Linked DNA regions of Callithrix jacchus. The protein of the gene in region 2 binds, or shares a complex with, the protein of the main gene of each other region. Links are inferred from orthologs where the notes say so. Each region holds a gene or a part of one and is shown on either strand. Other genes may lie near its edges.

Region 1 (5,505 bases), on a different chromosome or scaffold from region 2:
CCAATTAACTTGAAATACCCTTTGAACCTTACCCCTAGTCCTCTATCCTGGGCCTTTTTATCTCCTCTACCTCCCACTCAGGCAACCACTATATCATTCTAATCCATTTTTACACATATACCTGTATCACTGAATAATATACAGTATTGGTATATAATATTTGAAAGGGGGTTCTAACTTTTATAAATTGTTATTATTCTATATGTGTTTCAGAAATTTAATAATAATTTTAAATTTATTATGTTTTTTCACTGATTATGTTTTGAGGAGTGTGTTTGAACAGTACAAAACTAGTTTATTCTTTTTTTTTTTTTTGAGACGGAGTTTCGCTCTTGTTACCCAGGCTGGAGTGCAATGGCGTGATCTCAGCTCACCGCAACCTCCGCCTCTTGGGTTCAGGCAATTCTCCCATCTCAGCCTCCCAAGTAGCTGGGATTACAGGCACGCGCCACTGTGCCCAGCTAATTTTTTTGTATTTTTAGTAGAGACGGGGTTTCACCATGTTGACCAGGATGGTCTCGATTTCTCGACCTCATGATTCCCCCGCCTCAGCCTCCCAAAATGCTGGTATCACAGGCGTGAGCCACCGCGCCCGGCCTAGTTTATTCTTTTTAACTGATATTTAATATTTTAATATATGAAGACCACATTTTATTTGTCCACTCTATTTGTCCATATTACATGCATTTATTTTAGACATATAGGTGGTAAGGTCAGAGGAAAATAAAATCTAACAGAGAAGTATTGGGAAATATAATATCGAAGACCTGAACCCTCCTTTTGAAACATATTTATTTCTGCAAAAATGAAATGCCTAGGGTAGTGTATCAGCATTTATGTATAAAGGTTAGTTCCTTTCAAAGTAAAGCTCTACACTTACTTTAATGTCTCATGCCTGTCTGGATGATGCTGGATCACTTTTGCCAAAGCATCATATTCTGAAAGACATAAAAATGTTTATCAAACTAAGGGCTTATCAAAACAAAATGTGTAATATCACAAGCCTCTCCTAACCACTTCCCTAGTACATCAAGAAATGAAATCATTGAAAGATGAGTATTGCCAGTTCTAGTTGACTGAGTTATAACTATAATGACACATAACATCAAAAGTGTTCTAAACAGGGATTTTAGCTCCCTAAACTTCAGCACTTTTTTTCCATTTATATGTTCTGGACAGAACATAAGAGGTCAGCATAAAAATAAGTGAACTTAAGTTATTACTGATTATCAAATAGACTGATTCTGAGAAGGATCTTACTCACTAGTTGTCCAAAAAAAAAAAGAAGAAAATCAGTGAATATATCCATCCATTAATTTGAGATGTTAGTCAACAGCAAATTACACTTCTCACTCATTCTAAAAGTTAAGATTTCAGAAACTTACAAATAACTTAAAATTCAAGTTCTACTTTCTGCTCCACTGAGACCTCCAAGATAAGTCATGTAACTCCTGTTAACCTTTCTTCTGAAGTGATGAATGACAAGATTTACTTAAAAGTCTCATTAACTAACAAAAACACTGCAAAATATTTTTAAATGACTTTAGAACTGATACTAAGTTGGTATATCTTACTGTAAATAGGGCACTAAAACTTCACCACACACATTTTAGACTGAAAAAATAAACTTTTAAAAAGAGGAAATTAATCTTCATCTTAACTAGTTAATTAAAAAGTACAATTCATTGTTTTAGAACTGATGCTATTAATTCAATAAAAGTATGATTTTTTTAAATACAATTTTTTTGAATTACAAAAGAATACATGTCCTGTGTAAAATAAAACAAAACAAAACCAGAGAAAACCTAAGCCATAAAAACCCACCACTTCAAAATAACCACTAACATTTTCTATTTTCTTCTAGTTTTTCCTATCAGTGTAACAGTTGTGATTATAAATTATGATTTTTATTTTTGCTTTTCTTCAATTTATATTATAGGAGTAGTGCCTCTAACATTAAAAATTATCTGGAAACAGCATTTAGGAACTACATAAGAACATACTCTAACTTAACAAGAGATTATAACAAAACTCAACTTTAACTTTCTTATTAGATATTCTAGATAGTCTATAAATATTTGCTTGCTTCATAGTTAATGAAAACTCACAGAGTTTAAATTCTTTTTCATTCATTTTTTGGAAAGTAGCTCTATTAAGCAAACAAACAAAAAAACCCAAATCATATATCTAGTGTATTTATGTAAATTGCCTCTGCTGATTAACTATTACATTATTTAGGCAAAAAGCTCCAAGATGGTAAAAATTTAATGCTTAAGAAATACTGGGAAAAGAAAAAAACAAAAGGAGAAAAACAGAAAAGAAATACTTGGATAATCAGTGTAATCCAGCAAAAACATTTTTTTCAACACAGACTTCTTTCTCTATTTTAAAGAATAACATAGTTTTAAAGAATTAAATTTGGATAATTTTTAAAAATCCAGGTTGATTCAGGCTGCTGAAGATTTTTCCTCACAACATTAAAAATTGCATGAAAATAGTAGTCAGTAATAAAGTATTTGCATATTAAATCCCTCAAAACTCTTACCTTGGCGATTTTTTCGTATTCGTTTTGCTTGAAGAATTTGCTTTTTGCACTCAGCAATTTTTTCATGTGCTCCAGCAATGCTACATTCTATATAAGAAGGTTTTAAAACTTAGTTGTAACAATATCAATAATCCATGTTCAATTTTAAAATGCATTTATAAATTAAATTCTATTGCTAACAAAATAGACACTAGTATTAAAGTACCATATATTAGAATGCATATTTTTGTAGCTAACATTTGCTGTATTCTTTCTATTAATACTGTAATTATTATTCTTTTACCACCAACCAAAGAAAATTGTTAGCAGATATTGTTTCCTTTATACCATACAAAATAAAATTACAGATAGAAACATTAATATTCTTTACCTATTTCCTTGTAAATTTTTTCATAATTTTCCATTTCTCTGAGATTCATATCATATACTAGTAAAGTTTTGCCCATTGAAAATTCACATTGAGACAGTGTGCTCAGCATACGCTGGTACTGGCTATATCTAATGAGAAAGAGAGAAAACCAAAATAAAGATGTTTGTAGACTGACAAAACTGAACTATTATAATGCAGGCAAATATTTGCTAATTAAATAAGTTCTTTGAGAGTCATTTGCTTATTTAAAATAATTCAGAATATCTGTTCCTTAAGTTTTCTTTTTATCAAATGTAGCACACCTGAATTTATAAACTAGTTACACATGCAAAGATGAGACTGTTGTTCTTATCAGTGTATGCTTTATTCAAATAATTATTTGCATTTTGTTTAAAATACATTATGAATTTTTTATCTTCACAATTCTGTCTCCAGAATTTACTCTATAAAATTATTTATGTGAAAAGCAAAGTTTACTATATATATATATATATATATATATATATATATATACACACACACACACACACACACAAATACATACATACAGTTGGGCATGGTAGCTCATGCCTGTAATTCTGGCATTTTAGGAAGTCAAGGTGGGCAGATTACTTGAAGCCAGGAGTTCAACATCAGCCTGGCCAACATGGTGAAATCCCATCTCTACTAAAAATACAAAAATTAGTCAGGCATGGTGGTGCATGCCTATAATCCCAGCAACTCGGGAGGCTGAGGCACTTGTACTGCTTGAACCTGAGAGGCAGAGGTTGCAGTGAGCTGAGACTGCACAATGGCACTCCAGCCTCAGCAATAGAATGAGACTCTGCGTCAAAAAAAAAAAAGATTTTGTGTGTGTGTGTGTGTATGTATCAAGTTGGTGCAAAACTTAAAGATATTGGCAAAAACCATGATTACTTTTGTGCCAACTTACTACATACATATACTTATTAAACACTTATATCCTAATGGGTCTGAATTTAATCTTCATTTCTCCTTACCAATCTGCCTTCTCTATGTTTATTAAACATATGGGAGGCCTCTGAAGAAAAGAAAAGGCCAAGAAAATCTACTCTTAATTAAGAGTTGACTCCACTGGACATTTAAGGTGAATAAAAATTTGATCTATTCACAGGACCTTAATGTATGGTCTAAAATCACATTAGGACATGGGTATAGAAACAACAGTGAAATAAAATACCCTTCTTCCTGGGACCCAGAGTTGCACCATTTAATGAAACTCTTCACTAGCAGATTAATTCTCCGATCATCTCCAGCACCATCTCCATCAATGAGGAGACGCTTCCGTATGACTTCGTCTGCAGGAAAGAAGAGCAATGCTACCATCTGGCTCTTGGTAACTTTCAAATACAAATAACCAATATCACTGTTCAATTGTTTATTCAAAAGAAAATTATTGAAATGCAAATGTATTTAATGCCACTGAACTGTACACTTAAAAATGGCTAGCTAAAATGGTAAATTTTATGTTATGCATGTTTTATATTGCATATAATAAAAATATTTATATAGTAATGGAAAAAAACGTTATTGCATGACTACCGTGTGTCAGGTACTGTTCTAGGGGCTGAAATAATAGCAGTGAAAAGACATCCTTACAGAGTTGGCAGTCTACTGGGTTGTTGAGTGGAAATAATTTTCAGATACAATCAAGGAAATAAGCCAATAATTCTTAGAAAACTTTTGTGAAACAATTTGCCCAGACAGACAGAAATCCAAATATTTATGTCTCTGGCCAGTGAAAGGCACTGATAAAATGAATAGACAAGAAATATTTAAAAGATGTAGTGGCAAACTAGGAAAAAAGAATAGGTCAGGGAAAAAGGAATGAATTTGTTAAATAAACATATAATTTAAGGCTGGGTGTGGTGGCTCATGCCTGTAACCTCAACAGTTTGGGAGGCTGAGGTAGGAGTATCACTTGAGCCAAGGAGTTCCAGACCAGCCTTAGCAACACAGTAAGACTCTGACTCTACAAAAAACAAAAATCAGCTGGATGTGGTGGCACGTGCCTATTAGGCCCAGTAACTTGGGAGGTTGAGGAAGGAGGATCACTTGAGCCTAGGAGATCAAGGCTGCAGTGAGGCATGATCTCACCACTGCACTCCAGCGCCTATAGGCAACAAAGCAAGATGCTGTTTCCAAAACAAATACTATATATATCATATATTATAAATATATAAACATATTATATATTTATATTATAATTTACAAATATTTATATTATTTTATATATAACATATATTATTTACTATATAATACATTATTTATATAATATATTATTTATACAAATATAAATATGTATAATATAATGCATATTATATATAATACATACATATTATATACATGTATTATATATATACATATTATATACATATGTATGTATTACATATATATTTAGTTATCTGTAAGGTTTCTTTCCCCATGAGAATTTTTTTTAAACAATACTTTTGCCCCAAGGAAAAGAAAAAAAAAAAAGCAGTGTAGATGACAATGATGACCAACAAGTGAGGTCCCAATCTATCTGCCTGGCAGTCCTGAGCTAGTGTTCTTACCCAGACGAAATAATCCT
Region 2 (4,187 bases):
GATGGCTTTATGGATAATCAGGTTTGCTAGGACCTTGGTTTTGTTCAGGGCTATTGCTGTTCCTTTTTCCTTTGAAGGAATTTAATTCTCTGAGATGTAGTCTTAATGATTTTCTTTTGAGAAAAAATTCTTTAAAATACTCTGTCTCTGGAGTGTGTCCCTGTCCTCATACATGGCCCTGAGTTTTGTGATTACAGCTCATCTGAATAATTCTGACAAGTTTGGCTGGCACTCTGTGGAGATACATTTGATTTACATGTTTATTTTGAATTTAAGGTCATCATACTATTTTAAAGGAGCTGTTTGCAAGGGCAGGCTTGGAATTAAGGATTTCTAAGAAACGAAAGGAGATTTGACTTTCTTGTGTTTATTTACATCTTAAGGTAAAAAGTGGACCGTCTGGAGATAGATTCTCAGAGGAAAAACGGAGCACACGGGCCTCTTTGAGAAATCAATCTTGTTCTTAAGTCACAAGAACTCAAGTAAACTTGTCGTTTAAGTTTTGCCCAGAGTGTGATGAACTCTTCCTTTGGTGTTTGAGTAAGCCTTTGAAGACAGTGCTAGTTGGTGGGCAGGTATGAATCAAGTCGTATCATTGTCAGCCTGTAGTTCAAAAGCAGTACAATCCAGATTGAACTATAGAAATGTTCTTACTAAAACTTTGAACTGGCAGTGTATGACTTCTGTAGCCAGACTAGTGAGGTAATTTGTGGAGATGTCCATTTCATGAGACCACACTTGAGCTTTTTGAAGTTTCAGCTCTGGATCAAAATTCTGCTTCTTGTCTAACATGTTCCGAGGCAAAGGCTTGCTTCTGGTTTGGGGTCCTTATGACACCACAGCAGGTTTATCTCCCTTCACACCAGCATCTCACTTGCTGCTTTCTCTCTGCACTTTGAGTTGCTAGATCCTGTTGGATTGCTTTTTTGATCTCAATCCCCTAACACCTTTTCTTCCAGAAGAGCTTAAAGCAGCGCCTGGGTAAGAGTAACATCCAGGCACGGTTAGGCCGACCCATAGGGGCCCTGGCCAGGGGAGCAATCGGAGGACGAGGCCTACCCATAATCCAGAGAGGCTTGCCCAGAGGAGGACTACGTGGGGGACGTGCCACCAGAACCCTGCTTAGGGGCGGGATGTCGCTCCGAGGTCAGTGCTGTGTACCCTGATAATTGTCAGGCCCTACTCCCTTCCCTTTTCTCTTGGGCTGCTTATGGACACGTTCGTTTAACATCTTTAAGCCTGAATTTGTATGACTATAATAACTTTTGAAATCACATATTTTTAATAGTGCTGCATGTCTTTTATCGATACCATTCCTTTTCTGATAATGTGCAATGGTGAGAGGCTATGACCTGCGTAACAACAGGTAATTCATGTCATCTCCATTCCATTTTGAAACACCCTGCTGCTGCTTGAATCAAACCACATTCAAGTAATAGAAATAAGTCAAATGTAAGAAACTTAGGTCTTTTGGCCTATGTCTTCACTCTTTGTTCCTGGTGCTAGTAAAACACTGATACAGCTGGAAAAAGAGGACAAGTTGACCCATAGCACTTACCTGTATATGTTTATTTGGGGCACTCTTACTCTGTTCCCTGTATAGTTCTTGCTCCCTAGAAGAATGTGTTGAGATCAGGAACCATAGCATTTATTTTTAAATTTACCACAATGCTAGACATCTGATTGTTTAGTAGATATTTATTGAATATATGTACTTATTAATTGAAATAATTCCCAACTTCTTCCAAAAATGGATTTGTGGTCAGATGTGTTGAATTGATTGGATAAAGAGCAGCTTAACCTGTTCACACTCAGTATGCAGCTTGCCCCAACCAACCTAAAAACTAACTGAATTACCCTCATTTAACCCTCACCTCCTACCTTTGGTTAGAATCTACTTTGTGTCTCTTGGATTTACCTGCATATACATTGTATGCCTCCTCTCCAAGGTCAAAACCTGCTCCGAGGTGGACGAGCCGTAGCTCCCCGAATGGGCTTAAGAAGAGGTGGTGTTCGAGGTCGTGGAGGTCCTGGGAGAGGGGGCCTAGGGCGTGGAGCTATGGGTCGTGGCGGAATCGGTGGTAGAGGTTAGTCAGCTACCAACTTCAGAGAGTAGCTCCCTCTTATTTTCCTCCCTTAAAAACTCAGAGCCACCTTTTTGCACAGCTTCAAGTCATAGGCAGGCTTCTTTGTTTGTCTTGTTTTGTTATTTGAAACTGGCTTATTTTTCAAATTCCCATGCTGGTAGTGCAAAAGTCTCATGATTTTTCCAGGAATCAATCAAGTGCATATTACAGAGCCAGATTATATGCTGTCTTCTTCCTGGTTCTTGCAAATTTAAATTGTACAGTTAAAAATACCCCCTAAAATGGTCAGTTTAGGATTTTACCTTCCTGTCTCAGCCCCACCACCACACACTACCCTGTAGCTCCAAATCCTGGTTTGAGTCACATGAGAATATAGAAGAGAGAGAGATACAAAGATGGAGCAGAGTTAAGAGGGTGGTGAGACTTGGAGCTGGGCATTTGCTCTGAAACCAGATAAATTCAGTGTCAAATTTGTGCCTGTGGAGAACCAGAGATGACTTTTTTTGCTTAAGGTAGAGAGCAAGATGGAATTATTATCAGTTAACACTGGCTCTTGTTCATCTTGCCTTTGAAATTTATTATGTTTGTCTCATGACCGTGACCCAGATTAGGAAAGAGTTTAATGGTGTTGCTACTAATACTAAATCTCATGGGAGCGCTCTGGTCTAGAGCTCAGTGGGAAACTCCCAACAACACCTCATGGGAGCCCTCTGGTTTAGAGCTCAGTGGGAAACTCCCAACCACACCTGTCAAGGAAAAAAAAACACTCTTGTTGCTCCTGTGTATATTTGCTTTGGTTCTCTTAAAAGGTGTTGCAGGTCTTCCATAACTAATGACCTTGAAATTGCCAAGGAATAATAACTGTTAGGAAAGAAAAGCTGATAACCAAGGGCTTGTTTTCTTCTCTCCTGTTATATGCTACTTGGCTTATTGAATGAAGTACAAGCTAGTTTGCGTTTCAGGATAAAATAGCATGTTTGCTAAGTGAATTCAAACTACTTCTCAGATAAACAAAATTGTCCGTTGTCATAAGGTAACTAGAATTAGAGGTAGAAATAGCTGGGGCAACTCAAAATATTTTTTTTTCTTATATTTTTTCTTTCTTTTTTTTTTTGAGACGCAGTTTCGCATGTTGCCCAGGCTGGAGTGCAGTGGCTATTCACAGGCGTGATCCCACTACTGCAAAATATTTTTTCAAGTCCCTTCCATTGTTCCTCTGTGAGAAAAACTCCAGTCTCCTGACACATGAGGTCAACTAGCTTATTAGACTTGATAAGTTTAAAGAAAGATGAGATAACGTTCCAGAAGGGTTTCTGATAAACTTAATTTGAAAACCATCTTACTTTACACCCTGATTATCTGTACCCTTGTTACCACCTGCCTATCTTACTAAACAAGGTTATGTATTTTAATTATAAACTTAGTGAATCTCAAATCTTAGGTTCAGTTAAGGTTTTCTTTTTTAACTATAGTTGTCAGTTAATTACTTTCCTTTTTTGATAGAATAATAATTGTTCAAATAGCATTTAGAGATGATCCTGTGACAAGGGATTCATTATGTGTGCTTTCCATGTGTGGCTTTCTACCCAGTGTCTTTCCTGTTTTCCACATTTCTCCTCTTTCCCTGCCCTTCAGCTTTTCTCAGCTAGGCCCTGCAACTCTAAGGGGCATTTACTATAGCACCTATTAAACTTATTTGTAACTGTCTCTCTTTTTTTTTTTTTTTTTCTCCTTTGGGCCAGGTCGGGGTATGATAGGTCGGGGAAGAGGGGGCTTTGGAGGCCGAGGCCGAGGCCGTGGACGAGGGAGAGGTGCCCTTGCTCGCCCTGTATTGACCAAGGAGCAGCTGGACAACCAATTGGATGCATACATGTCGAAAACAAAAGGACACCTGGATGCTGAGTTGGATGCCTACATGGCGCAGACAGATCCCGAAACCAATGATTGAAGCCTGCCCACCCTGCCATGAGAGACTCTTGTTAGTCCACACGTCTGTAAATAGCCTTGAGATAACAGATGAGAAGAAATCTGATTGATGCTGGATGGACCTATTACAATAGGCTATGGACTTACTTGCCACCAGCTTGTGCATTTAGTGTG
Region 3 (6,290 bases), on a different chromosome or scaffold from region 2:
TCAACTACCAACATATTTACTCATTTTACTATTCAATACAAATGTCTCACTGTTTTCAGCACTCTGACATTACTACAGCTCTCCTCCCCTCTTCAATACTTTTTTTTTTCTGATATTTGACTGGAAATCTGATACTGTTACAGTTCAAGGCATTTTCACCCACAGTTCAATCTCTCTTTCCAATTGTGTTAGAATGGGCCAGGCACAGTGGCTCACACCTATAATCCAGAGGTCAGGAGTTTGAGACCAGCCGGGCCAACAACATGGTGAAACCCCATCTCTATTAAAAATACAAAAATTAGCTTGGCATGGAGGCACATGCCTATAATCCCAGCTACTAGGGAGGCTGAGGCACTAAACTTGGGAGGTGGAGGTTACAGTGAGCTGAGATCAAGCTACTGCACTCCAGCCTGGGCGACAGAGCAGGGCTCCATCTCAATTAAAAAAAAAGACTGGGTTTCTACAAAATTCTCAGGAATTTGCTGCTAAAATGATGTCATGTATCAATTCAGATACATGATACTATGTTTCCTTCCTACTTCAAAGCATATTCCATTCCTCTGAGGTTCCATACCAAAGCCCAAAATTCTCTTAATGACAATGGACAGATTTTTTTTCTTTTTCTTCTTTTTTTTTTGAGACAAGGTCTCCTTCTGTCACCCAGGCTGATGTGCAGCGGAGCAATCATCACACAGCTCACTGCAGCCTCAACCTCCCAGGTTCAAGTGATCCTCCCACCTTAGCTTTGCAAGGAGCTGGGACTACAGGTGTGCACCACTATGCCCAGCTAATTTTTTAATCTTTTGCAGAGACAGGGTCGCACTATTGTTACCTAAGCTAGTCTCGAACTCCTGGCCTCAGCCTCCCAAAATGTTGGGATGACAGGTGTCAGTCACTGCTCTGAAACTACAAGTGTGCGCCACCATGCCCAGCTAATTTTTTAATATTTTGTAGAGACAGGGTCTCACTATGTTGCCTAAGCTAGTCTCAAACTCCTGGCCTCAGCCTCCCAAAGTGCTGGGATTACAAGTATGGATCACTGCACCCAGCCAAGATTTTTTTTTAAAGGCAATAAAACCTCAAGTCAACCTAGAAGTCAGGATCATTACATCAAGATCACCAGTGGAACCAAACATAAACGTCCTAAATATCAGAATCAAAGGCATGAGTTCTTTTTTTCTTTTTGAGACAGAGTCTCACTGTCCGCCAGGCTGGAGAGCAGTGGCACAATCCAGGCTCATTGCAACCTCCACCCCGGGGCTCATGCGATTCTTGTGCCTCAGCCTTCCCAGTAGCTGGAACTACAGACACGCACTACCATGCCTGGCTAATTTTTGCATTTTGAGTAGAGGTGGGGTTTCGCCATGTTGCCCAGGCTGGTCTCCAACTCCTGGCCTCAAGCAATCCACCCATCTCAGTCTCCCAAAGTGCTAGGATTATAGGCATGAGCCACCATGCCTGGTCGAAGGCATGAGTTCTTAACCAGAGGTCCATGGACTCCTCAGGGCTACAAGGTAGTTTTATGAAGCCCCTCAAACTGCATGCAAAGTACGTGTACATGCCTTTTTCTGGCGAGAGAGGGTCCATACCTTTCATCAGAGTTTCAAAGATATCTGTGACCTCCAAAAGGTTAAGAAGTGCTCTAGAGAAAAAGCAAAGACAAGCAAATGTGATTAAAGAGTGAGTCCTTTTTAGGCTGTCAGGAGTGCCTAATGTTTTCTTAGACTGCAACACTGAAATCAGGTCAGAGGACTTTATGTAAAAGTTACTTATCCAGTCAAATACAAGTTTAATATAGATCTGACAAACACAGATTTGATGGAAGGAGGAACTCCATAAACAAACACAATTATAAAAACAAGTAAGTCATGGGGCAGCTGGTGACTTACTCCAGGGATTTCAAAAATAGGATAAATAGTGTGGTGGCTCATGCCTGTAATCCCAGAACTTCGGGAGGCCAAGGTGGGCATATCACAAGGTCAGGAGTTCGACACCAGCCTGGCCAATATGGTGAAACCCCATCTCACTAAAAATATAAAAATTAGCCAGGCATAGTAGCACATGCCTGTAGTCCCAGCCGCTCAGGAGGCTGAGGCAGGAGAATCGCTTGAACCTGGGAGGTGGAGGGAGCAGTGAGCTGAGACTCCACCACTGCACTCTCCAGCCTGGGCTACACAGTGAGACTTTGTCTCAAAAAAAAAAAAAAAAAAAAGACAAATAGAAAGAAAATATTAAGTCTTCTATGCATAGTTCCTTTTTGTCTCATTCAAAAATTCCTTTTCTATGTTTTATAATGGTACAGAAGCATACAATTTCTATAAGTACAGTATATATACACCAAGTGGAGATTATTGCTCAATTTTTCTTTTACTCATCACAATAATTATCAGGAAACCACTGATAGTCTATGCATTTCAGTACCACCAAGTTAACAATAACTTGAGAATAACACAAAAACCCACTAAACAGAGTTTAGAATCCAAGAGTAAGAAAAATATCAGCTTTCACAGAAAGACTAATAGGGGTCAACTAATAAGTGACTAAACAAAGGTCCTCTCCCTACCCTTAAGCTTTCTTAACAACAAAAACAAACAAAAAAACACTTCAAGCTTTAAAGGATCACTTTTCAGTTTCAGCTGTATCAGCCTGGTTTGTCCAAAACATCCAATAGGAAATCTACCTGTGAAACCACAGAGAATTAATCAAGATTAGTTTACCCTAAAAGAAAATACTCTTTGAAATTTTCTTTTTAATATATTTTTTAACTTTTTTATCTCTCTTAGTTGTTTGCAATCTACCTTAAATAAATACTCTCTCTTTCAGGAAAATAATAATCCAAGTATGAGAAAACTACCAAGATTCTCATAAGACAATTTAAAATAGCTTCTGTGATTCAGTGTCACCCAATGGTAAAACACCAGGAGATGCAGAGCCCATTGAGATATGAAATGGAACAGAGATAATCTTAACCTTGGAACTGTTTTTCCCAAATACTGCAGGTATGAATTCTCTCTGGTGGTAGGAGACGGTGTGTGAGGAAGGCTGGCAAGTGGAGAACCGCGTGAGAGAACTGGAAAACTTTTAAATCTGAGGTGTCTGTACTTCTATCTCAAGGCCTCCTCAACCCCAGGCTTCTAAGGTGAGGCCTTTCCCTGGTTTCAAAATTCTCCCTGGTGGCGTAATCCCACCTAGAAAAGGGGAGTGTCTGGGATCTATTCAAATAGCGACACACAAAAATGCCACCATCTGCTAATATAATAGGCGAGTCTCAGCTTCAGAAGACAGACTGGAAACATAATTCCAGGGAAGAAAAAGGGATCCTGGGTCCGACGTGGGGCAAAGAGGAGGGACCAACTGACGTAATGCAGACCAGAAGAGCAACGAGGAGTATAACAGGTAGAAGGCACTTACAACCTGGTGGACAAGGGTGACGGACGATACAAGGATGAAGGGAACAGAAATAACAAAAAAATATAGCAGTAAAACCGTGAGGAGAAATGGAAAATTAGGGAAGGCGTAGTGTGGAAGGGTGGCACAAAAGAGCTACGGCGGGAGCCAAGAAACAAAGTAGAAAAGGCTGCAAGGAGAACACGTAGGAGAAGACGCAAGTCACTGTGCAGAATTCAGTTCCCAGAAAAGTCCAACTGAGCCCTTCCCCGATTTACGGTACCTTCAGCTTATGGAGCTCCACCGTCTCGGTCGCCATCTTGTTACCCCTCACTCCGCTAAGCCCCCACCCGCTGCCTCCGCCTCCAGGAGCTCCCGCCTTAGGCGTAGAGATGCAAGGCTGACCAATCGTTGCCACTCTTGCTCCCACTACATACCATCAGCTCTTCCCATTGGTCAATAGCTGACGTCCCTCATGTCTCTCGGCAGCTTTCCCCACCTCTTTCAAAAGGGGGGACAGAGAGAGGGGCGGGCACTTATCTTACGAACGACAGAAATGGCAACCAATTGTGCGTCTGCATCACATATCACCAACCGCTGATTATGTTCCTCCAATAGGGAAGGGGCAGACGGAGAGGAGTCACTTCCTGGAGACTTCAGATGTGGTAGCCGGCGCCTCGCCCATAAGCAGACAGGGATCTGAAGCTGGCAGGTAGGGGCCGCGAGGACTAGAAAGGTTGCTAAGGAAATATGGTGGGAGGCGAAAGGGGCGCCGAGGAAGCGGTGACTTAAATGCTGAGAAACGAATGCTGAAGGGAGCCCTGAAAAAAACCGACGAACATGAGAGGAGGAAGCTGGGAGGGAATGGGGCGGGCTTAAGGAACTGGCGGGTGGCTGGGGCGGGCAAGAGCCGCTTCCTAACCAGACATCATCAGCTTTAGAGCTACCACAATTTTAAAGATCCGAGTTCAGTTGATCACTGCCGCCCCTGGAGTCAGAGCTAAGGCTCCATCTCTCGAAACGTTGAGCTCAGGTTCCTTCCTAACCCAGTCCAGAAGGCGTGGGCAAGTTGTTGTCGTGCCCCACGCTTGAGAGAAGCAGTGGGGATGCTGACTGCTGACATGCCACGGAGGTGAGACAGGGTGGACAAGCCCCAGAGAACAGGTTGGGACTAGAGCTTTACTCTGTCATCCCTTCTTAGTGGTTCTTTGATGATTCCATGACTTTCTCCTGGAATTCTGGGTGTGCGTGACCTCTTCATGGTTAACTTCTTCAGGAAAGTGAGATTTCCTGTTTCCCTTGCTCCCTGAAGTGAGTGCCCCAAGCCTACGCATACACCTTCATGTTACAGTTGAAACGTAAAGATCAGTGAGAAAATGACTATGTCTCTAAAATGTAGTGAGGATTCTTCTTGCCTTTTAAAGTTTTCCCCAAGTCTTCAGTTTTTATTTTCTGCGTGATGGGGAAGTTCTTCATTCCCAATAGAGTTCAGGGAATCTGAGAGACAGCTGGGAGAAAGCTCGAAGAGGGGCTGAGAAAAAAATGAGTTGGACCCTACCTGATCCCCCATTATGACTAGGATGAATGTGGGGGTGGCACACAGCGAAGTAAACCCCAACACTCGAGTGATGAATAGCCGAGGCATCTGGCTGGCCTACGTCATCTTGGTAGGACTGCTACATATGGTTCTACTCAGCATCCCTTTCTTCAGCATTCCTGTTGTCTGGACCCTGACCAACGTCATCCACAACCTGGTGAGCAGTAAACCATGCCCTTGTGCCCATCCCAGAGTTTCCCAACCACAAGCAAAATAAAATTACTAATTGTTTGGGGATTTGTATCTTCCTTTTGGGATCTTAACATCATTCTTGGACTGAAGAACTACTTTCTGCCCCTCACACTACCACCCTCCATGTTCCCAGGCTATGTATATCTTCCTTCATACGGTGAAAGGGACACCCTTTGAGACTCCTGACCAAGGAAAGGCTCGGCTACTGACACACTGGGAACAAATGGACTATGGGCTCCAGTTTACCTCTTCTCGCAAGTTCCTGAGCATCTCTCCTATTGTGCTGTGAGTCTATGAGGGAAATGGGGATATGCTGGGTTAGAAAGAGTTCCAAGAGCCAGGCAGAAAGGCCCATAGGGAAGCTGTTAAAAAGCAGGCTACCCATCTAAAACCCTTTGAAGATATTATGATATACTAGTTCTAAGCCTACAGAGAGCAATAAAATGTAGAAGACAATACTGTAATCAAGCATTCCTTACTGCCTCCTTGGTAGTAAGGAAATGAAGGGACTAAGATAAGAGCCAAGTAAAACCAAATGATTTTACACTGCCAAAAGAAGCAAATAAAGGCAGAACTGATATTAATCTTCAAAAACACTGTAGGGAGTGGAAGCAAAGAAGACTCTTAACAGTCACACAGACTGAACTAGCCTCAGCTGTCATTTGCCATGTCATTAACAATGAACAGAAACTGACTTATAGTCTCCAGTTAAAGGTACTATGAACCCCAGAGTAAACGCTATTGATATAGCTGGAATATTTTTAAGATAATTTAGGACTACATACAATAAAACTGGTCATTTTAAATAGAAGAGAAAGAACAGGGCACTGCAGTGCATGCCTGGAGTCCCAACTACTTAGGAGGCTATGGCAGAAAGATTGTTTAAGCCCAGGAGTTTGAGGTTGTACTGCACTTATCACATTTATGAATGGCCACTGCACTACAACCTGGGAAACATAGTGAGAACTGCCTCTTAAAAAAAAACATATAGAGAAGGCTACCCTCACTCACCCTATGTTTTTCTCTCCCCAGCTATCTCCTGGCCAGCTTCTATACCAAGTATGATGCTGCACACTTCCTCATCAACACAGCCTCATTGCTCAGTGTACTGCTG
Region 4 (6,081 bases), on a different chromosome or scaffold from region 2:
GATCGGAGAGAGTAATATGTAAATCACGCCACCTATTTGGCCTCCATTCGTGGAAAGAGCGAGTATGGAAGAAAAGCCTGAAACTTTATTGTTAAAAAAAAAAAGAAAAAGAAAAACATTCTAAAACCCTTGCTGGCTGGGGGTGTGGTCAGAGGTCAGAAAGACAGGGAGAAGGCTCGGTAGCCCAGGTTGGTGAAGACGTCCACCCGACAGCTGTTGCCTGCAGCTGTGAGGACCTGGAGGAGAGAGGGGCATGACTGGCCTGCCCATTCCCCTGCCTCCCAGCCGCCTGAGGCCCCTGCCACCAGACCCACCTTGCACTCGGGCGCGGCTGGCTGCTGGTTGAGGCTGAGGCTGAGCAGCCCTGGGGAGGAGCCAGGCACCTGGGCCTTCAGCTCCCCGCTCAGCTGCCACTGGTTGACACAGCGGCCCTGGCCCGCAGACAGAATCTGCAGAGGACAAGGAAGGTGCTCAGGGGTCAGGGCTGGAGGGGAGAGCCAATGGGGGTGGCAGACGAGACAGAGGGACTCACCAGGTCCTGGTAGAAGGTGACGTGCTTCTGTGGCGCCCGCATGGGGAAGATGGTGGTGGGTGTGGAGGATCGCAGGTGCCAGAGGGTGAGGGCTGGGCCCCCTCCACAGACCTGGACAGAAAGGTGGGAGTCCCCAGCTGTGAGCTACAGGCCGACAGCCGACAAGGCCCGAAGCTGCCAACCTGTCCCACAGTCTGCCCAGCTCACCATCCAGTCAGAATCAGTTGCCAAACATCCGATCCAGCGCCCATTGTGGGGCCTGGAGCACTCCTGGGAGGGGAAGGGGAGGAGGGAAAGAGGTGAAGTCCTAGAGGGTTAAAGGAGTTTCTGGGAAAGAGGACAATGGCCACGGTCACACCCTCACCTCGTGCTTATAGACCTCGATTGTCTGGACCTCCTTGGCTGTGCGCAAGTCTGCAGGGAAAGAACCCACCCTAAGTAGTGCCCCACGAGCCTCAGCCTCCCTCACTGCCATCTTGCCCTCCAGCCAGCCACCTCCTTACCCCAAAGTCGAACAGCTCCATCCTCACCACCCGACAGCACCTCTGGGCTCCTTTCTCTCAATGCCAGGCAATGGATGTAGTCTGTGTGGCCCCGGAGGACCCGCTGCAGTAGAGGGGCAATGTGAGGAGATCTAGGAAGAGTGCCTCTCCCTGGCCTGGACCTGCTCTAGGGCTCCAAGCCCCTGCTCACCGTGAAGGTCCCAGTTTCAAGGTCCATAGTGTGCAGCTGACAGTCTCCCCCAGCCAGGATGAGAGAATTCTCCTGTGAAGGAGGAGGGTGAGGCAGGAAGTCAGTGTCAAATCAGGAAAGGCAGAGAGTGAAGAATCAAAGTTTGGACCAACAACAGTCACATGGGGCTCAGACCTTGGGGACCAGCAGCAAAGCATTGATCTCAGGCACTTCCAGGCTGGTCCTGGGGGAGGAAAGTCAGGGTAAGTGAGGGAGTGCCTTCACCCCCATGCGCCCTCTATCCACGTGGCCCTGGCTCACCTGTATGGAGGCTGACGGCACCACAGCTCCTTACAGCCCTTCAAAAGGAAAAACATGAGGCGACCTCAAAGGCCCTTTTTGGGTCTGGGTACCCCAGCCCTTGCCCCAGCCTCACTCCTTACCTTCTTGAGCATCTCCACCCAAAGCCAGGCCTTCACCTCCCCATCCCCAGCACTGAGCAGATGTCGATCTGTGGAGACCATGCTGTAGACCGGCCCATCATGGGCTGAAGAGAAATCCGGAAGTAAGTCAGCCGATCCCACCCAAAGCCCCGAAGCCAGACTCCACAGCTAGACCCACCTTGGAAAGTCACCACCGGCTTCTTACTTTCCTCTTTGGCTTCCGAGCTCAAAGCAGCAGACAAGCTGCAGGGGACAATGGAGGGGACCCAGGAGTCAGAAACAGGGGCATCTGTCCCATGAAGACCAAGTGCCAGGGCTAATGGGTGGACGGCAGCAGAGGGTACCTAAAGATGGCGATCTGCCCATAATTGTTGCCAGCTGCCAGAAACTTCCCACACGGTGAGACGCTTTGGGAGAAGATGGTCATATGGAGCCGCTGCAAGGCCTGGAACACCTCTGCCTGCAAGGAAAGACTGGATGAGGCCTGCCTGGGACATCTGAAACCTCCCATCCACAGACTCCTCCCTGCTTCCCCGCTACACCTGCCAGGCCTCCCACTGTCCTGACTTCTCAGACCTCTTTTGCAGCAGCCAGCACCTGCCCATGCAGTCCCATAGGTGGCTCCAAGAAGACACTGAAGAAGGGGAGAGTTGAGGTGTGACGCCTCATGAACCTCTGAGCAAACACCCAAGCCTCTCCTACCAGCTTCCTCAACTTTCAAATGGAGCTCACAGGAGATTGTCACGATTAGATGAGCTAGTGTATAGACAGAGCTTTGCACAAAGCTGTCACTCAGTGCTTAAGCCAGGTGCCATGGCTCAAGCCTGTAATCCCAGCGATCTGGGAGGCTGAGGCGGGAGGATCGCTTGATGCCAGGAGTTCGAGAGCAGCCTGGGAAACATAGTGAGACTCTATCTCTACAAAAAAAAAAAAATTTAAAAATTTGGCCAGGCACGGTGGCTCACACCTGTAATCCCAGCACTTTGGGAGGCCAAGACAGGCAGATTACCTGAGGTCAGGAGTTTGAGACCAGCCTGGCCAACATGGTGAAATCCTGTCTTTACTAAAAACACAAAAATTAGCTGGCCGTGGTGGCACATGCCTGTAGGCCCAGCTACTCTGTAGGCTGAGGCAGGAGAATCGCTTGAACCTGGGAGGCACAAGTTGCAGTGAGCCGAGATCTCACCATTGCACCCCAGCCTGGGGACAGACTCGGTCTCAAAAAAAAAAAAAAAAAAAGTGTTTAAAAAGTGGTTCTGCTCGGCTGGGCGCGCTGGCTCACGCCTGTAATCCTAGCACCTTGGGAGGCAGAGGTGGGTGGATCACCTGAGGTCAGGAGTTCAAGACCAGCCCGATTTAAAAAAAAAAAAAAAAAAAAGTGGCTCTACTACCCCAACATAGAAAAACGTACTGACTTGTAATCCCTATTCTCTGACTTGCGTTAAGCCCCTGAGGCCTTATTGGTTACTTTCCCGCCCCACCCCCCGACCCGGTCATAATCTGAGTCCCACAAACAGCCCTAGCAAAACAGGGCTCGGGGCACTATTCCCTGCCCGCCCTGTCCAAGTCATGCATGGACTACAAACCCCAGAAGGCACCGCGCACCACGTCCGTCTCACCTGACCCAGAGGCACCGCGAGCGGCACAGCTCGCTCCATCTCCAGAACTACAAGTCCCAGAGTGCTCGCGCGCAACGCAATCTCACGATGCCGTACGTTCCTAGAGCGGTTACTCCTCGCGGCGCCCTGCCGCCTTCGGCGCGAAGGTGACTGCTGCGTACTGTACTGAACCCCAGGAGCCGAGGTGAGCACCACGAAAACCCCCGACACTAAGAAGTGACGCCCACCGCAGTTCCGCTAAGCCGATCCCTTCCCCCACCCCGAGGAACAGGCCCGCCTTCCGCCACGCGCCCCACGTCTTCCGCGCCCGCGCAGAACCTCGCAGCTGCGCACGCCTAAAGCCACACCCCTTCGCGTTGGGCCACGCCCTCAGAGACTCCGCCTCCGTCGCCCAGATCCCACCCGCAGGACCCCAAAACCCAATGATCCTGGAGCAGCCCTTGGAGCGAGGCCCGCAGGGTGGGGCCCAGCGCCTCCCGCGGGCCGCCTTGGGGGTGACTCGCGGCCTGGACGCTAGGTGCGTGTAGGGGACCAGGGTGGGCCTGACCAAGGGCCGCAGGAGCTTTGGCTGGGTGCTCAGGGCTGGTCTGCAGATGGACACGGTGTAGGGCGAATCGGCGGGGCTTAGGTGTAAACTGAGACCGGATTGGGTCTTCGGCTCAAGGTCGAGACTTTCGAGGTACGCTGCTGGATGGCCCAGAAGAGAGGGGACAAGCACCACCTGAGACAGGAATGGGCTTGGGGCTCCTGGCTGATGCTGCAGGCTCAGGCGGGCAGATCCTTGGGAAGGGGCCAAGAGGGTGGGGTGCACCAGGCTCTCTTTTTTTCCCAGCTCCCCTCTCCGAGGAGCTGTGCCCCTGAGCACCAAGCGGCGCCTGGAGGAGGAGCAGTGAGTTTGGGGGGCAGGGAGGGACTCCCAACAAGATCTCTGTCACCTCTGGTCCCCAACACGCTGTCTCCTGTCTCAGTTTCCCAGCCTCCCTCTCTTTCATCTCTCCCCAGGGAGCCTCTGCGCAAGCAGTTTTTGTCTGAGGAGAACATGGCCACCCATTTCTCTCAACTCAGCCTGCACAATGATCACCCCTACTGCAGCCCCCCTATGACCTTCCCCCCGGCCCTGCCCCCACTCAGGTAGGCTCCTCCACTGGCCAGGCTTTCTGCAGGATCACAGGCGGTTCTCAGAGCTGACCTCAGGCCCTGCCTCATCGTGCCATTTTTAGCTCTAGCTGACCTCTGGGTTGTTTCCCATCTTGGCTCTTTGGAAAGTGCTGAGAACCCGGGAGCCCCTGGGGACCTGGACCTGGTGGGAGGTGCTCAGTTAGGCCGCCTCAGCCCCCTTGCCGACTATCATTTCCTCTTCTAGGAGCTCTTGCTCTGAGCTGCTTCTCTGGCGATACCCTGGCAGCCTCATCCCTGAAGCCCTCCGGTTGCTGAGGCTGGGGGACATCCCCAGTCCCTCCTACCCTTCGACCCCAGCTGGGGACATAATGGAGCTCTGAGTGCTAGTGGACAGCGCCCCTCCCAGCTTCCTTCGTCCCCACAACAGAAGAGACCAGCGACTCCCGCAAAGGGACAAGGAGCCTCCCTCTCCTCCAGACCAGGCACCAAGACCTTCCCTCAACAGAGGACTCTGAGCCCAATGGAGCTCTGGGATGAGAGGGTGGGAGCATGGGCAGGGAGGCATCCCACCCCCAAGAACTGAATAAAGATTTCTGAGCAAAGAAAGGCTTCCAACTGGAACCTGGGGCTTTTGGGGATGGTGGAGAGGGCAGAGGTGCAGGATGCTGGGGTTTCTCCTCAAGATCTTCCCTGGAAAACTGTTAGGGCCAGCCAGGTCCTGGCCGGCTGAGTTCCAGGCATTGAGAATGTGTGAGTCAGAGCCTCACCCCCGCCCCCGTGGCTGGCTGACTCACTCCCTCCCTCCAGCTCAGGGGAGTCAGTCGGGGATCACTGCCTCTCCAAACCATTTAAAGTTAAAGATTCCTTTATTAATAAATTCTCCCTCCCCTCCGAACTCTCCCCAAAATAAATATCTCCTCCCCTCTTTAGGGAGTTGGGGGGGTCTGTATCTTAGGGCCAGCCCTCCTAGTGGGCCAGCCCCCTAGTGTTAAAAATAGGTCCCTAACCCCCCAGGCTGGTGACCCCTGTGGTGGAATTTCAGGACGTCTGAGTGAGTGGGGCCTAGTGTCTGTCGGTCCTCCAAGTCAGCCTAGCCCCCAGGGCCTCTAGGGAGGAGGACACCTCCTTGTGCAAATGCTGCAGTTCCTTAGTCAGTGTCAGCTGTTTGTGTGAGCCAGCTTAAGGCTCCCTTTCTGTTCTGAGGCCAGAAGCAGGGCAACCAGACACCTTGGAAGGCTCCCCTGAACCCTGCAGGAGCCCAGGCCTCAGAGGTGATTCACCACCCCCCACCCCCCTGTGGTTGGAGTGGCTCCTGCCACGTCTGGGAGGCTGAGACTGGCTCTAGATGGATGAATGAATGATGAGTAGGCGAGCCCCGGTTGGCAGGGGGCGCATTGTCACTGGATCAGGGCCACGGCCGGGCAGCCATCTCCACCGGTCTCCTCTATGGGGGCTGCAAGATAAGAGGTGGGGTCGTCAACGGCAGGGGAAAGGTCGTGTGATGATGCGGCTGGGGAGGCCGGGGCTCACTTACTGGTGAACTTCTCTCTCCTGCGGCATCGTCTCCAGACCAGGAAGCCAGAAAGCAGCCCCAGCACGAAGGTCAGGCTCAGAGCACCCCCCAGGATGGGCCAAAGCAGCCGGAAGGGGGTCGGAGGTGCCGCAGCACCTGGGGGCGGACTGGGAGTCAGACCTC

Evidence for each region.
Region 1: CHTOP (region 2) and THOC7 share a complex: the UniProt entries of both Homo sapiens proteins name them as parts of the transcription/export (TREX) complex. The link is inferred for Callithrix jacchus from reciprocal best matches to the Homo sapiens genes CHTOP and THOC7.
Region 3: CHTOP (region 2) and SARNP share a complex: the UniProt entries of both Homo sapiens proteins name them as parts of the transcription/export (TREX) complex. The link is inferred for Callithrix jacchus from reciprocal best matches to the Homo sapiens genes CHTOP and SARNP.
Region 4: CHTOP (region 2) and THOC6 share a complex: the UniProt entries of both Homo sapiens proteins name them as parts of the transcription/export (TREX) complex. The link is inferred for Callithrix jacchus from reciprocal best matches to the Homo sapiens genes CHTOP and THOC6.

What each region holds. Positions count from the first base shown.
Region 1 is NC_133516.1:45,609,735-45,615,239, forward strand, and holds part of THOC7 (THO complex subunit 7), read right to left. Parts: intron 4,232-5,505; coding exon 4,114-4,231; intron 3,044-4,113; coding exon 2,916-3,043; intron 2,633-2,915; coding exon 2,546-2,632; intron 939-2,545; coding exon 881-938; intron 1-880. UniProt on the Homo sapiens protein: Component of the THO subcomplex of the TREX complex which is thought to couple mRNA transcription, processing and nuclear export, and which specifically associates with spliced mRNA and not with unspliced pre-mRNA.
Region 2 is NC_133519.1:14,062,383-14,066,569, forward strand, and holds part of CHTOP (chromatin target of PRMT1 protein), read left to right. Parts: intron 1-959; coding exon 960-1,146; intron 1,147-1,949; coding exon 1,950-2,087; intron 2,088-3,829; coding exon 3,830-4,035; 3' UTR 4,036-4,187. UniProt on the Homo sapiens protein: Plays an important role in the ligand-dependent activation of estrogen receptor target genes. May play a role in the silencing of fetal globin genes.
Region 3 is NC_133510.1:63,833,023-63,839,312, reverse strand, and holds the start of SARNP (SAP domain-containing ribonucleoprotein), read right to left. Parts: upstream 3,720-6,290; 5' UTR 3,707-3,719; coding exon of another isoform or gene 3,671-3,706; intron 1,643-3,670; 5' UTR 1,597-1,642; coding exon of another isoform or gene 1,590-1,596; exon of another isoform or gene 1,563-1,589; intron 1-1,562. Other genes in the region: ORMDL2 (ORM1-like protein 2), read left to right, coding at 4,968-5,141, 5,310-5,461, 6,209-6,290. UniProt on the Homo sapiens protein: Binds both single-stranded and double-stranded DNA with higher affinity for the single-stranded form. Specifically binds to scaffold/matrix attachment region DNA. Also binds single-stranded RNA. Enhances RNA unwinding activity of DDX39A.
Region 4 is NC_133513.1:5,169,667-5,175,747, reverse strand, and holds THOC6 (THO complex subunit 6), read right to left. Parts: upstream 3,588-6,081; 5' UTR 3,306-3,587; coding exon 3,267-3,305; intron 2,282-3,266; exon of another isoform or gene 2,263-2,281; coding exon of another isoform or gene 2,224-2,262; intron 2,108-2,223; coding exon 1,992-2,107; intron 1,891-1,991; coding exon 1,826-1,890; intron 1,752-1,825; coding exon 1,648-1,751; intron 1,564-1,647; coding exon 1,526-1,563; intron 1,449-1,525; coding exon 1,400-1,448; intron 1,298-1,399; coding exon 1,226-1,297; intron 1,139-1,225; coding exon 1,036-1,138; intron 947-1,035; coding exon 897-946; intron 803-896; coding exon 740-802; intron 644-739; coding exon 533-643; intron 450-532; coding exon 315-449; intron 237-314; coding exon 156-236; 3' UTR 64-155; downstream 1-63. Other genes in the region: HCFC1R1 (host cell factor C1 regulator 1), read left to right, coding at 3,689-3,783, 4,099-4,155, 4,269-4,397, 4,630-4,765; TNFRSF12A (tumor necrosis factor receptor superfamily member 12A), read right to left, coding at 5,783-5,838, 5,920-6,054. UniProt on the Homo sapiens protein: Component of the THO subcomplex of the TREX complex which is thought to couple mRNA transcription, processing and nuclear export, and which specifically associates with spliced mRNA and not with unspliced pre-mRNA.